2 linked regions of the Elephas maximus indicus genome follow. The protein of the gene in region 2 interacts with the protein of the main gene of each other region in a biochemical or structural test. Links are inferred from orthologs where the notes say so. Each region holds a gene or a part of one and is shown on either strand. Other genes may lie near its edges.

What was found. The genes of interacting proteins can lie anywhere in the genome.
Region 1: the proteins of UPF2 (region 2) and UPF3A form a complex in vitro, tested with the Homo sapiens proteins (2 studies listed by IntAct, with this or other methods). The link is inferred for Elephas maximus indicus from reciprocal best matches to the Homo sapiens genes UPF2 and UPF3A.

Annotation. Positions count from the first base shown.
Region 1 is NC_064835.1:75,690,281-75,697,601, reverse strand, and holds the start of UPF3A (regulator of nonsense transcripts 3A), read right to left. Parts: upstream 3,448-7,321; 5' UTR 3,397-3,447; coding exon 3,148-3,396; intron 1,550-3,147; coding exon 1,443-1,549; intron 1-1,442. UniProt on the Homo sapiens protein: Involved in nonsense-mediated decay (NMD) of mRNAs containing premature stop codons by associating with the nuclear exon junction complex (EJC) and serving as link between the EJC core and NMD machinery.
Region 2 is NC_064822.1:45,341,030-45,349,274, forward strand, and holds the start of UPF2 (regulator of nonsense transcripts 2), read left to right. Parts: upstream 1-4,891; 5' UTR 4,892-4,966; intron 4,967-8,245. UniProt on the Homo sapiens protein: Involved in nonsense-mediated decay (NMD) of mRNAs containing premature stop codons by associating with the nuclear exon junction complex (EJC).

The sequences.
Region 1 (7,321 bases), on a different chromosome or scaffold from region 2:
CTGGGGGGCAATTTAGAGACAGTTTGTTTATTGCACAAAGCCAGGATTAAAATACTGGTCTTCAGAGGTTAAAACACCAAAGAAAATGTTATTCCTACATTATGAGTCACAACTGGCATAGAACTCTAATCATGATTTATTTATATCGTAAAAGGGATTCTTTACTATTTAGAGAACACTTTTAGATATTTTAGGAGTATTTATTGTAGCACATGGTACAGAATTCAAAAGGCTCAGTGGGGTCTACTGGAAGAATTAAGCTTTTTCCTCTGTCCCACAGCAACCCAGTTTCCTTCACAGAAAGGTGCTTTCGATCCATATTACAGATGAGAACACTGAAGCTCAGAGAAATCAGGTGCTTGTCAAGCGTACGGTGCAGCCCTGGTGGTGCAGCGGTTAAGAGCTCAGCTGCTAACCAAAAGGTTCCAATCCACCAGCTGCTCCTTAGAAACACTATGGGGCGGTTCTGCTCTGTCCTATGGGATCATTAGAAGTCAGAATCAATTTGACGGCAGTGGTTTTTTTTGGGGTTTAGAGGGTATGGTTAGTTAAAAGGTGGGACTGGGGTTCCAGTCTAGATCATTCTAGTTCCCAGGCTTGTTCTCTTTTAACATACCAGTATTTTCCTCAACTTCAGTCATTTGAAAACCACCTTTGTTTTTCACTACATCTATGTTTGCCTGTTAGTAATATTTTTCTCTGAATGGATCTTTTTTTTTTTTTAACTTAAATGCGTGCATTTATTCAAAAGGAAAGTTTACATGACTACCATAAATGGGAAATCATGATAACGAAGACAATAATATAGTGAAAAATCACAAAATTCTAGCTGCCCTGTTGTCTGTTAAAGGTCTGAGCTGAGGTCGCCTCTCTTTTAAGAAGGAGATTAGTAAGTGTTAAAGTGAGGCTAGTCATCCTATTATCAAACTGTAAAAGAGTGCTGAAAAAGATACAATTGGCAGGGGAGGCTGTTAGTGATAGAACCGAGCACAAGGGGCTTTTGGGGTCCTGGAAATATTTGGCTTCTTTATGTAACTGACACCTACTTACATAAGCTTGTTCACTTGTGAAAATTCCCCAGGTTACACATTTATAACATACTCATTTATTTTGTGATATCTCAACATAATTTACTTTAACAAGCTACAGGAAACAAGGTTCAAAAGCTAAGTAATAATGGTGTAAATCTGTTTTTCCTTTTATACTCTGGTGGTGACAGTAGAAGTATATTCCAAAATTCTATTTTAGGGGAAAATTTTTTTTTTTTTTTAGTAATCTGCCTACTTAGAAGTGAGCTGCAAAAATAAAGAACGGTACCGATTTCTGCGGACATTTGGTAGAGAATATGGAAAAAAGGATGCCTTCCCTTATCTATAACAACTGCCCATCAACTGACAACACCTCTCAGCTGTTTAATGTTGAAGCTTAACGTGTCTCCTCACCTAAGATTGGCAGTACAGAACTCAAAATAGTCGTGTGCAGGAAGCGGATGTAGCTGCTCGTCCAGCTGCTCCTTGGTGAGACTGGGAGGAAGCCGCCGTATGACAACCTGAGGAGCACCAAGATAAAACCGTATGACAACCTGAGGAGCACCAAGGTAAAACCGTATGACAACCTGAGGAGCACCAAGGTAAAACCGTATGACAACCTGAGGAGCACCAAGGTAAAACTGTATGACAACCTGAGAAGCACCAAGGTAAAACCGTATGACAACCTGAAGAGCACCAAGGTAAAACCATATGACAACCTGAGGAGCACCAAGATAAAACTGTATGACAACCTGAGGAGCACCAAGGTAAAACTGTATGACGACCTGAGGAGCACCAAGGTAAAACCGACGCTGACTGGATTTTGTTTTCACTATTAATGGGTTTTATTAAGTGTCAATTGTTGGAATGCTTGATCCCCTATATTTATGCACAGAGGAAAATCTAAACCAGGAGTCCAACAGAAACACACACAGAAAAAAGGTTAAGACATACATGCACAGAGAACATGGTGGTCAAAGGGTACAGATGGCTGAGTAATTTAAAAGTTATCAGTGAGGTCAGAAAAGGCTGTGTATAACACAGCTCTTTTTCATGTAAGCATTTTATTACTACATCGAGAAAACTGCTGGCATATGATATGTACTGTTTGTGCCAGCACTGAAAAATGAAATCTTCTCCACACTCTACCTTAATTAGTATTAGAAGGGAAAACACATTCAGAGAAATGCAAGCAATAAAAAGTAAAGTGTATTTGTTCTTGTTGCCAGTAGGAGTTCTTGGCCAGCTTCACGACCTGCAGCACTTTGGCTGCCTGTGGTGGGCACTTTCACCTCTCTGATACGTATTACTGGCAGTTCTTTCTCCAGTGTTCGTTCATTCCTCTCTGTCTCTTATGCTAGTAATATCAGGGTTATCTGGTAATCCTTTTCTGCAGTGGCCATTTCCAGTTCCTCTCTGGAAATCTTTATTTGATTAGATCGGTATGTACCAGCCTTCTGAATGTGACTCTGCCAACTAAGTAATCGTCTACCTTCGTGTGACCCGTTTGGGGGCTTCTCAGCAGTCTCATGTTTCAGATTTTGAGGCGTCTTTAAATCCTATCTAGAGGGGTGGTCATTAGTAATAATGTCGGTTTGGAACCGGAAATAGTACGGGGTGGGAAGGAAGAAGGGGTAGAAGGAGTGAAATTTCTTGCTTTGAACACGCTGTCTGATGGTGGTAAGCCAAGGATTCTAAATCCATCTGAAAAATATGGGGCAGCGGTTAAATGCTCGGCTGCTGACCAAAAGATCAACAGTTTGAATCCACCAGCCAAACCCTATGGGGCAGTTCTACTCTGTCCTATAGGATCTCTATGAGTCGGAATCGACTCCACGGCAAACGGCTTTTTTTTTTTTTTTTTAATATATTCACTTAAATGGCTCTTCTTCCTCTGAGTCGGAAAAGACCAAGTCAGAAAGTGCAGGAAACTTTGTCTCCCTCAGCATCCCTTTCCCCAACTCTTGTCAGTCGCTTATCAGAGACCTGCCCGGGCGCTCTCCGGGGTCCTGAAGGTGCTCCGCCCCTCCGTAGTCCTCACCCCGCCCCCTCACCGCCCCGCCCCGCCCTCGCCCCGCCCCTCCCCTTCCCCCGTCCTCGCCCCGCCCCCTTCCCGGACCTTGCTCAGAACCGTCCTCTTCTCCTCGCGAGGTTTGCCCGCCCCGCCCCCACCACCCCTACAGCTGGAGGCGGAGGCAGACGGCATTTCGGGCTCTCGCCGCGGCGACTCCCAGCGGAACTGGACCTCCATGGCCGGCCCCCCGCGGGGAGTGAGCGCTGACGGCTTCTCCCTCCCACTCGAGCCTCGAGCTGCCACTGCAGCCCCGGTGGCCCCGGCGCCACCAGCCGCCTCCCTCTCCGAGCGCATCTCGCAGCCGCTTCGGGGCAGCCGCCTCCCCGCCTCCCCCGACCCCGAGAGTTCGGCCGAAACCTCGCGAGAATGCCACGTTTTCTCGGTCGCCCGCGCCCCTCTCGCCTCTGCCCCTTCCCACGGCTTTGCACGTCCGTCCCCAGGCCCGGGAGCACGCCCACCCCGGGGCAGGGGAACCGAGGGAGGGACAGGGGTGTGCGGCGAGGCCGGGGCGAGACTCTGGGGCCAGGTACCAGAGGTTGACACAGTGGGTTCAGGTGTGGCCCTGGAGCCCTCGCTTTCAGCTAGCACCCCCAGTGTGCCCTGACAGTGGTCCTGCGTGCGGGGCACTTGGAGAAACACTGGTTTACAGAGATGGCGTGGCGGTGGCTGGGATTGCACCCGCTTTCCGCATGCAAGAAGCCGGGAAACTAGAAGGAAGAAGGGAATAATGGCATCTCCTCTTTTTAGCTTCTTGGCCACTAAACGGTTCAGCTGGTCAGGTGACAGGCACAGCTCCACAGAAATTCAGAACCAGAGAGTTTTTGGCGTAAGCAGGAGCTCATAAAATTGGGTCTGCATTGCTGAATCTCAGTTCCCCAAATAGAAGGCTAAACATAGAAGGCTGTTGGGCGAAACATTCCTGAGAAATACGTGTGCTGAATATTTACAGTTTTCTTCTTTTCCAAAGATATTTGAACATTTTATTAAAGAACAGCAATTACAGTTAAAAAAAAAAAAAAAAGGGTCCAGTGGCTGACGCAAGTTGGTACATGGCTTTCTTATACGGGATAAAATAAATGCTTCCAGAAATACTGGGCCTTAAGGTTTTCCAGTATAATTTTTATTCAGCTCTTTAAGGCTTCCAACTAATGGGACATTAAAACTGGGTTCACATTTACTTTTTAACAAACAAGCAGCCAGTAACACTTTTGATTAGCATCATTTGGAAGTTATCTTGAAATTCCATTTTTTTTTTTGCTATTTTCTCGTGTTTTTTAACTTATAACACATTTCTTTCAAGAGTTTCAAGGACACACACAAACGACTAGAGAATGGAGCAGCTGAAGCACTGAGAGATTGACAGATTAAGAGATTTACAGGAGTCACTGGCAGTCAACCGGAAGTAAATCCAGGTTTCTTAGCTCAATCCAGTGTTTTAGCCACTATCTGTGACCACATTTGATAGGTGATATTTTAAATCGGCCAAAAGGCTCATAAAGTGGTTCCAAACCTGAGTTCTCTAAAACCCCACAAAGGTGGCCAGGAGCTCTTTTCAGTAATCCATAAAACCTAAAGGAATACTATTAGAAATGCACCTATGATACGGTGGCACAGGCTAGGCCAACAGCTTTTTTCCTTTTGTCTCAAATCAATTTAGTATATGATAAAGCTATGTGGATCAAAAGCTCTGACAGTGTGTTATCTTTGATAAAAAGTGGGAAAATGTGATTGCCAGACAAAATCTTTTATAGTGTGAGTGGGAAGTAGGAGCAGAATAATTAAAGAGGGTTGCTGATGGCAAAAAAAAAAAAAAAGGAAACTTTTTAAATTTGGGATGTGTCAGCAGTCTTTAAATACAGAACATATATTTTGAATATATGTTTTTAAAACTACTCTCTATTTGCAGGTCTTCCCTCTTTTTAAATATTTTTCAGATTAAACTATCACCAAACTCAGGATTTTAGTTTTTTAGTCATGTTTCCAAATTGGGATAATAAAATGGATTCTGAACCTCACACCTCCTGTCTATAAAATAATCTTACTGAAGCACTTTTGCTTCAGAGGAATTCCTTTATTACTGAGCTAAAACTCACAAAAATTGTCAAGTGGAGGAAAGAACTCATTCCCACTTGTCATTAGGTCAAAGCATATGCAATGTCTTATATTTCTTGTGTTCATATTTTGTCTCCCACCACCACTATAGTCAGGACTTATGCTATGCCCTCTGCTTAGAATGTTCTGTCCACCTTTCTTACGTTCTCTCAGACCAACAGAATCCCAGTCAAGGTGAGGGCCCTTCATTTGAGCTTCCACAGAACCTTGAGCATACCTCCCTTTCTCTATTTACTACATTGTACAATAAGGGTTGAGGTACTTTCTGTGCAGTTTCCACTCAGAACTGGGACTTCACTGAAAACAGAAACTATGAATTTATTCATTTATTCCTCCCCAGCCCAGGTCTGTATCTGGCACCTAACAGGTACCCACGTTTGCTGAAACATACAAAACATAAGCTCTTGCAGAACAAGTATCATATTTCTTTGTCTTTTTCACATGACTTGGCCCATTTATTTTTTCTCCTTCAAAATATCTACAGTATACTCCCTGTATACTGAATGGAATTGAGAGTCTAGAAGAAAACCCTTACATTTATGGTCAATTGATTTTGATAAGTGTGCCGAGACAATTTAATGGAGAGGAACAGTCTTTCCAACAGGTGGGGCTGGGATAGCTAGATCTCCAAATATAAAAGAATGAAGTTGGATCCCTACCTCACACCACACACACACACACACACACACAATGGATCACAGATTTAAATGTAAGAGTTAAAATCATAAAACAGAAGAAAACGTGGGAGTACATCTTCATGAGCTTGGATAAGGCAACTGTTTCTTAGATACGACACCAAATGCACAATGACAACAAATAAGTTGGACTTTATCAAATTAAAAACTTTTTTGCTTATAAGGACATCACCAAGAAAATGAAAAGACAACCCACGGAATGGGAGAAAACGTTTGCAAATCATGCATCTGACAAGAAACTTACGAGAATATATAAAGAGCTATTAAAAGTCAATAGTAAAAAGACAACTCAGTTAAAAAATGTGAAAAAGATCTGAATAGACATTTCTCCAAAGAAGATACACAAATGGTCAATAAGCACATGAATCAACCTTATTAGTCATCAGAGAAACGCAAATTAAAACTACAATGAGATGCCACTTCACACCCACTCGAATGGCTAGAATCAAAAAAAGACAAATAATGAGTGTTGGTGAATATGTGGAGAAATTGGAATCCTCATATACTGCTAGTGGGAACACAGAATGGTGCAGCTGCTTTGGGAAACAAAACAAAGTGGAATAGTATTCAGCCATTAAAAAGAATAAAGTACTGATACACTTTACAACGCTACCTTGAACTTTGAAAATATTATGCTAGGTGAAAGAAGCCAGTCATAAAAGGCCACTTATGGTATGATGCCCTCTACATGAAATGTCCATAATAGGCAAATCACTAGATACAGAAAGTAAACTGGTGGTTGCCTACGACTGTGAGGGAGGGGACAGGGAGGACTGCTCATCGGTACAAGGTTTCTTTTTTGGGGTGATGAAAGTGTTTTGAAATTAACATGGTGAAGGTTACACAACTCTGCATATATTAAAAACCACTGGACTGTAAACTTTAAATGAGTGAATTGTATGGTATGTGAATTAAATCCTGATAAAGTTGTTTTAAAAATCAAATCTCATTTCTTTTTCCAAATAGTAAGAATGTGTATTTCTTGTAAATCTGGCTAGCAAAATGCCCAAATATTTTTTCCCAAGAGCTACCACTGTCCATGTTTTAAAACTCTGATTTTTCACTTTGTTATTATTCACAAATAATGTTCTGATAAATGGTTTCATAAAAATTACAGAATTTTAGAATTCAGGTTTGTCAGATAAAATTATTCTTTAAATAAGATCTCATAATACAAATTTCAAGATAGAGTGAACAAAATACACTTAGAAGCTTATGATTTTACGTGAGAAAATAAGCGTATTACAAAGAAGTCTAGCTTCTTACACATTACCCAACCTGTTAAAATGTTTTGCTTTATGTGTATGCACAAAACTTTGCAGCCAAAACAGAGCAGGAATTTTGGAATGACTGTGGTTCTGGGTACATGACTGTCATAAAAGGCTACACTTTACATGGTAACCCGTATCTAA
Region 2 (8,245 bases):
TATATGATTTACTACTTTTGCTTCTCTAGAGAACCCAGCCAAAGACAGGTAGTATTGACACTTTCACAATGTTGAATGTTCCTAACCATGAGCATGGTATATTTTTCCACATACTTTTCTTTTTTGTAGTTTTCCACTTGTACTTCTAGATTCTGTCCTTCCTACCACCACGAGGATTTTCTCCTACGGCTATCTTTTTTGTCTTTCCCTGCTATCATTAATATCTCCTTGCCCTCTGAGTATAAAAACACTATATATCTCACTTAAAAAACACATCAGGAATAGGAGTAAACGGAATGGGTTGCTAATTGTTTACATGAACAACTGCCTTCTTTGCCATGAGACCAGAAAAACTGAATGGTGCCTAGCTGCCATTACTGACCAGTTTGATAAAAAAAATTCTATAGAATCCTGATCAAAAGGGGGAAAATGTAGAACAGAATTTCCAATTATCATGGGATCCAGACTTTATGGAGTCAGAGAGGTTGGCTGAACCCCTAAAACTATTGCCCTGAGATCATCTTTAAACCTTAAACCTCAAACTAAAAATATCCCCTGAAGTTTTCTGAAAACCAAGCAATAGTTTAGCTTAACTAGTAAAGAATGTTTGCCTTGAGTATTGTGCTCTTTTAAAATCTATCTATATGGAATGAAATTGACAACAGCAATTCGAAAGATTAGACAGGAAACTTGGGGTGGCAGTTAAAATTTTTGACTTCTCAGGTTTCTTGGGCTGCTAGTGCCCCACTTATAGTATGTGCTCATGTCTGATTGCTAGGAAATCCAAGTCCCACTTAAATTCTTTGCCTCTATGGTTCTTGGGATGCTAGTGCCCAATTTATAATACATCCTGCTGTCTGAAGGGGACATGTATAAAAAATAATTCAGTCATGAAAGGGCTTTTAAACTAAACTTCAGCTCCTAAAAGGCAGAAGTTGAATTTGTTCAAGGTCTGGCACACATCTGCAGGCAGTCCACATCATTGTATTATATTGGCCTGAGGTCAGTGGGTATAGGCTGTAGTTAGAGCTGGTAAGCCTCACCTGATGCCTGTTTTTTTTAAGTCAGGCTTTGCTTTGCCCTGTAATTGTAATCTCTGTCCTCTGACTTTGATTTCTTCTGTGAAGCAGCAACATTGTGGCTAGGTTTTAAGTAGAAAATAGTGTAAGTTTATATAAACAGCAATATAAATAGCAAGTTTTTTTTGTTGTTGTTGTTTTTGTTTTGTTTTTTAAATCCATATGGTAGTTATGTCAGTTCTGTCAATTGGAGCAAGCAAAAAGGAGGATACTGGATATTTTTGAGAATTTTCTCAAATAATGAAGTATCTACATAACCAGTTAAATGCTTAGTACAATATATTTTCAGAAAATAGTGGTTTGAATTATTAGAATGCAAAAATGATGACCTCTTTAGAGTGGCATGTCTCTTCAGTTAGCGATGTCAGTGATGTCCCCACATCAGAAGGCTTTTGGTGGCAAGCTTGATAAAAATGATCAGCAGCATTTTCAGTCTATGTAAAAGCTTACATAAGTGTAGCAGGATATAGTGAAAAGAGCTTGGCTTTTGGAATTAGATTTGAGTTGAATACTAGATACTATGGCTACTAGTGACTTTGGGTAACTTTTCTGACTCAGTTTCCTTATCTACAAAATGGAGATCATAATACCTACAAGATTTTCATGATTATTAATTAAACTAGCAAATGCTATTTTAAAAATTGACGCCTTTTGAATTATGGTATTGGTGAAGAATATTGAATATACCATGGACTGCCAAAAGAATGAACAAATCTGTCTTGGAAGAAGTACAACCAGAACGCTCCTAAGAAGCAAGGATGGCGAGACTGCATCTTATATACTTTGGACATGCTGTCAGGAGGGATCAGTCCCTGGAGGACATCATGCTTGGCAAAGTACAGGGTTAGCAGAAAAGAGGAAGACCCTCAATAAGATGGATTGACACAGTGTCTCCAACAATGAGTTCAAGCATAATAATTTAAGGATGGTGCATGACCAGGCGGTGTTTCGTTCTGTTGTGCACAGGGTCGCTGAGTCGGAACCAACTCCATGGCACCTAACAACAACAACAAAAACAGCAAATGCTCAATAAAAATGCCCTCCTCCTTTCTTCTGGAGCCCTGGTGGTGTAGTGACAAAGAGCTACAGCTGCTAACCAAAAGGCTGGCAGTTTGAACCCACCAGCTGTGGCTTGGAAACCGTATGGGGGCAGCTCTACTGTGTTCTATAGGATCGCAATGAGTCAGAATCGACTTGAGGCAATGGCTTTGGTTTTTTGTTTGCTTTCCTCTCTTCCGATCTCTGTGTTAAAAACGGTGAGATTTTGACAATTGAAGAGATCAACTATTAGAGAGAAAGAGAGATGTCTGCAAATAGGCAGTGAGTTCTAAAACTGCTGTGGCTATTGCAAAGCAGTTTTTTGCTTATATCCAATTTACAATGCACAGTTGGTTCTTTGAAGGATATACAGTGGTGCAAAAGAACATGTTGCATGAAATACACAAAATCTTAGAGATTCAGGTCTTGGGGAAAAAAACCTTTTAGGTTAAACACCTACCATTTGTTACCTTAAAGTGAGCAAGGTCCTTGGGAAACAAGGAGGGGGATTTTTGAGATTAATGAGGTTGGTTTGCAGGGGTATATTTAATGATAAGATGCACAAAAGTCTTGGACCATTGTACAGGCTTGGGAATTGCTTAACACCTGTATTCACATGATTTCCTTTTAACAACCTGATGAAATGCAAAGGCTGATGTGATTTGAATGGGGCGAGAAGGATTTATGTATCAACAGCAGAGGCAAGTCTTCTTAAAGTATTCAGGCAAATTAAGAAAAAGGAAACTTGGAAGAGAAATGTGGGTGGCTATTTATGGCAAGCATAGTACTTTGAGAGCAATTATTTGTCTCTTTACTACTGTTTAAGGACCCTGGGAGGAGCCCTTGTGGTGCAGTGGTTAAACAGCTTGGCTACTAACTAAAAGGTCAGCAATTTGCATCCACTAGTGGCTGGGTTTTTAGCGGCTCCTTGGAAACCCTATACTGTCCTATAGTGTCGCTATGAGTTGGAAATCAACTCCAGGGCAATGGGTTGAGTTGGGTTATGAGTTTGAATGGTCGCAGCACACAACTACTACCTTTTAAATGATTGACCTATTTGGTGTTTTGGAAAAATTTTTTTTTTTTTTTTTTAATACGAGAGAGAGAGAGGCACCAATTATTCAGTTTGGTAAGGGAATTTGTGTGCTAACAACGGGAAGACAAAACAGTAAATAGAAGCAAATAAGCAAAAGCTAATTAAAGGGAACCCAGACCTGCTTGTTGATGCCTTTGAATTGTGGTGTTGGTGAAGAATATTGAATATACCACGCCAAAAGAACAAACAAATCTGTCTTGGAAGTACAACCAGAATGCTCCTTAGAATCAAGGATGGTGAGACTGCGTCTTACATATTTTGGACATGTTGTCAGGAGGGATCAGTCTCTGGAGAAAGACATCATCATGCTTGGCAAAGTACAGGGTCAGCGGAAAAGAAGACGACACTCCCAGTGGCTGCAACAATGGGCTCAAGCATAACAACGATCCTAAGGATGGCTCAGGACCCGGCAGTGTTTCGTTCTGTTGTGCATAGGGTCGCTGTGAGTCCGAATTGACTCAACGGCACCTAACAACAATAAATACCTGCCTCCAGTGTTGGAGGTGGATAGCAGCTAATGCCGTAGGCTTGGATACCTGGTAGGGCGCTGCAGGTCAAGCAATGAACAAGACCAGCTTTACACCTTTGTTCCTTTGGCTCATGACCATGTTCCTTTGGCTCATGATCATGTTGGCAGAGCCTCTCTAGCACTGTTTTGAGGCACCAACTTCAGGAATTTAAGGGGAACTAAATAGTGTGTGGATACTCTGATACCCATTTGAAAACTCGACCCGAGTTTATATTTGGAGGAAACATGGGAGCTGCCGATTTTTTTTTTTAAGGGAGATTTTGCGCAGTAATTCAAGAACATTTCATTGTAATTTTAAAATTTGCTTGCTAGTACCGGGCACTTTCTAAGCCGTATGGGAAAAGTCTTGACTCTTCACTCTGGGATATATTTATACCGAACACCTAAAACTGCTCTGGAAATTCCCCCACGGAACTTTTGTAGTCTTACTAAGGCATTCTTAAATCTAGACCCATCCCTAATCACCTTCCTTTCCAGCCATATTCTATAGCCTCCCCACTTTCCAATTTCCTAAATTTTCAACCTCCCTCAAATTAGTCCAATCAAACTTTCCCTTCTTAGACCTCTTCCTTACGTTCGCATCTAGAAACTCCTGTAACAGTCACATGGCCAACCTTGTCCTTAACGGCGCTCCGTAATTCCCCCCCCCGCCCCTTCTTACCTCCTGCTAGCTCCGCCCCACCCCATTCTCGTTCCCCTCCCTCCAGTGTCTGCGCCTGCGCACCTCCAGTTCGGGCGCTTTCCCTTTCCTAGTGACCAATCCACTTCCTGCCTCCGGTACTCAGAACACTCCTCCCCGCTGTCGGGGCCCTGGCCTGAGGTGTTAGTAGTGGCTGCCCCATTGGCTGCCTGTCTGAAAAATTCGCTCCTCCTTGAACCAGCCGTTAAGTGGCTCACACTTACATGAGCCGTTGCTCTGGAACAGCCACCGCAGAGCCAACCTGAGGGCATTGGCATGCCGAGGGATGGGGGATTCGGACTGTTTTGCAATCTGGCAATCGCTCAGACAGCCTCTTCCTTTCGGCCTCCCTCCGCCCCGCCCCCACCCGCAGCTCGGCCGCGCTGGTGAGTGGCGGGCGGGAGGGCCGTCGGGCGGAGGGAGGAGGGGGAGCTGAGGGAAGGCGGGTCCTCGGGTGCGAGATAGGTGGGGGGAGGGGAGGGGAGAGCCCGAGCGCTGGAGTTGGTGCTGGGAAACCCGGGGCTAATGTTGACAACAGGCTCGAGGTGAGTCCCGGGGAACCTCCTTCCCCTCCGCTCCAACGATCGGGAGGAAGCGGGGCTGGGGGACTCCGGCCTGGACCCCTACTCCCTGAGGGACCCAAGGGGCGACTCCGCACCCCAGCTCTCCTGGGGTGGGGAGCAGTAGAGGGACCGCTGGTCCGGCGTCGTCCTCTTCAGACCCCTCTCCCGGAGGCTCCCATCCATCCGGCTCGGGGCAGGCTTGAGGGGCGGTAGAGGAGGTGCCTGCCCCACACGCCTGGGCCGGGCCTCGGAACTGGAGGCGGGGAGCCTTCTGTGGCGGGGTGAAGGTGTTTGGGGGCGTGGAGTAGAGCGAGGGGAGGTTGGGGAAAGCTCTGGGAGAGCTGGGAGGGAAGCGAGGGCGAGGAAGTGGGGAGGGCGAGTGTGTGGGAAGATGTAGAGTAGGAAGACTAGCGGTGAGTCTTCCGTGGTGAAGGGAGTGTGGGTGAGAAGTTGGGGTTGGGGCAAGGATGGTCTGCGAAGGTCACCCGTGGGTGGCCGTAGGAAGGGAAGTTGTAGCGGGGAAGTGTGTTTGATACAGGAATGTGGAGGAAGCAGGGGTTGGTGGGAGATGTGTGTGTAGGGGAAGGGGTTTTGGTGTATGTGAGGATGGTGGACCCGGGTCATTTAGTTTATTTCCATTTGATCACAAGGCTGGTTGATTCTTTGCTTTGCCTTCATTCCAAGGCTTCAGGTACTCTCTTGTTAGTACTGTTGGACTAAGGAGATGATCATAGGCTATTCGGTGTCCAGATTGGCAAAGCAGAGCCAGCTTAAAGGCTCCAGGGGTAGTCACTGGACTGGCCGGACCATCAACTCTTAAAAATAGTAGCGCTTCAGATCAAAGTAAAACTATCACCCACCCTTTTCATTTATCATAGTTTTCAGTGGTTCATAAAAATTGCATGACACCTCAAGAAAACCATTTTTGAACTCTGGTGGAATTTGTAAAAACTTTGAATGAGTCTCTTTTTGTTCTAAGGACATTCTTCAAAGACTAAAGTTAAAAACTGGGAAATAATGCTCCTGTGTGGTTCTGCCCTTTAGTTAGAACATTTGGACTAATACGAGATTAAAAGGTAAAACACTATTCTCTCACTCTGTAGTGATTTCATACATAATCCATACGGTTCATGCAAAGGAGACTCTTTAAAAGGGAAATATCCCCTTAAACCTACCCCTCCACTCTGTTGGTACCTCTTTTACCAGTAAGATAATTTCACTGGTAACTTCAATGTATATTTAGAATACCATATAAAATATACAGCCCAAGTGCTCCACCAGGGCACATTTGGGAGCTAAGAAGGGCGTTTTAAAGCATGGTTTCCTTTTCAGAGGTGTCTGAACATAATTTTACTTAACTCGGTAAAATACCTTGTTAGAGCTATCATATTCTAATGTAAAGAGCACTGATTTTTACCTTGATTATTTTGAGATAAAATCTGTTTAACGTTCTGGTTTTTACTTGACAAACTTTTTGAAACACCTTAGATAAAGTCTTTGACTGTTTATTGAAGCATGAATTTATTATTAAAGAGTTTTAGCATTGTATTAAGTAATTAAGTTGAGCATTAAATTAAGCCTAATTTAATGTTCAGCTTAATTTTTAAAATTTTCTTAGTATACATATGTAGTGATCTGAATTATGTCATTTGTAGATTTTGTTTCCTAAATATTAAAGTCAGGTTATATAGTGGAAAAGAGCACTGGACAGTGAGTCTTGGCCCAGCCCGCACACTATTTGTGTAATCTTGGACAGATCACTCTGCTGCTGCTACCTCAGAGTAGAAATAGAGAATCAGAATGGATGAAGCCTAATGGGTTTTCTAACTCTAAAATAACTTTTCAGTGTTCTATAGGGTTGCTATGAGTGGCAATCTACTCGATGGCAGTGGGTTTGGTATTTTTTTGGTGTGAAAGAGAATCAGCATTTGTTGAGTGCTTCCTCATGCTGTCTGCTATGCTAGAAACTTTATTATATCAAGACCTCTATAAGATAAAAAAATATTTCCATTTGTTGATGAATAAATAGACTTGGGGAGCCCTGGTGGCAAAGTGGTTAAGAGCTCAGGCAGCTAACCAAAAGGTCGGCAGTTCGAATCCACCAGCTGCTCCCTGGAAGCCCTATGGGGCAGTTCTGCTCTGTCCTATAGGGTTTCTGTGTTGGAACTGACTCCATGGCACACAACAACAACAAACTTAGAGAAATTAAGGTGCTCAATTTCCATAGCTAGTTTGGGATGCAAACTTAAAGTCTGTCTGACTCCAAAGCCCATGTTAGTTTCACATGTTACATACTGCCCCTACGTGAACCTTTAGATTTTTGTCATATTTCTTGTTCACTGAAATTTAGCCAAGTATATGCTTATAATGTAGGCATGACATCATTCAAGGAAGACAGCAATATCAAGATGTAAGGGCCTTATTGAGAATCTCTTTGTGTTTTATCATGTTCTCGATTATCATGAATGCCTACTAGAGTTTATTTCATGTAGTAGGTATTTGAGATAAAAATTTATTAAGTAAATGAATACTATAGAGTCACAAAGCTTTGGGGGAGACTCTTTTGAGCTAATAAATGGTGAGTGATCCTTTATGAATTTGTCAGATTCCAAGCTAATTTCTTTTTAAAATTTAAAAAATAACTTTGATAAGATTTCATTTTATCTTCATAATAAAACATAAATTTTGATGCCATTTTTTATATTGTCTGAGAACTGTAATTACTTGTAACCCTAAAATTCACTTGTTGATGCTTCACATCAGAAAGTACAAATTCTGTATTATTATTTTAATTTTTTGCACGTAATGACGAATATCCCTAAATAAGATTGTGCTTACTTAGGTGCTATCTTGTCCTCGTGCTTTTCAGCCAGAATCTGGGAAAAGTTAAAGACATTATGTAAAAACTGCTTAACCATTAATTATTAGGGGACTCTTTCTACCCCAAGATTCATAATTCTATAATTTGTCATAGTTAGGATCTATGATCAAGCCTTCCAACTCACAATTTGGTGCCCTTAGGATTCTTAACTTTGGTTAAGAATGTGAGTTCAAATTTCAGCTCTGTCTTTAGCTGTGGAGGCCTTGGTCAAGTTACTTGGTCCAGTCTCAGCTTACTCATTTATAATATAGGGAAAATAATACCCACTTCATAAAGATTTTAGTATTAAATGAGATAATGTAAGTAAATGTCTAGCACAGTGCTGATGAGCGGTAGCTGTTAGTGTTATTTGTTAAAAGGTTTGCTGATTTTTAGGGCAT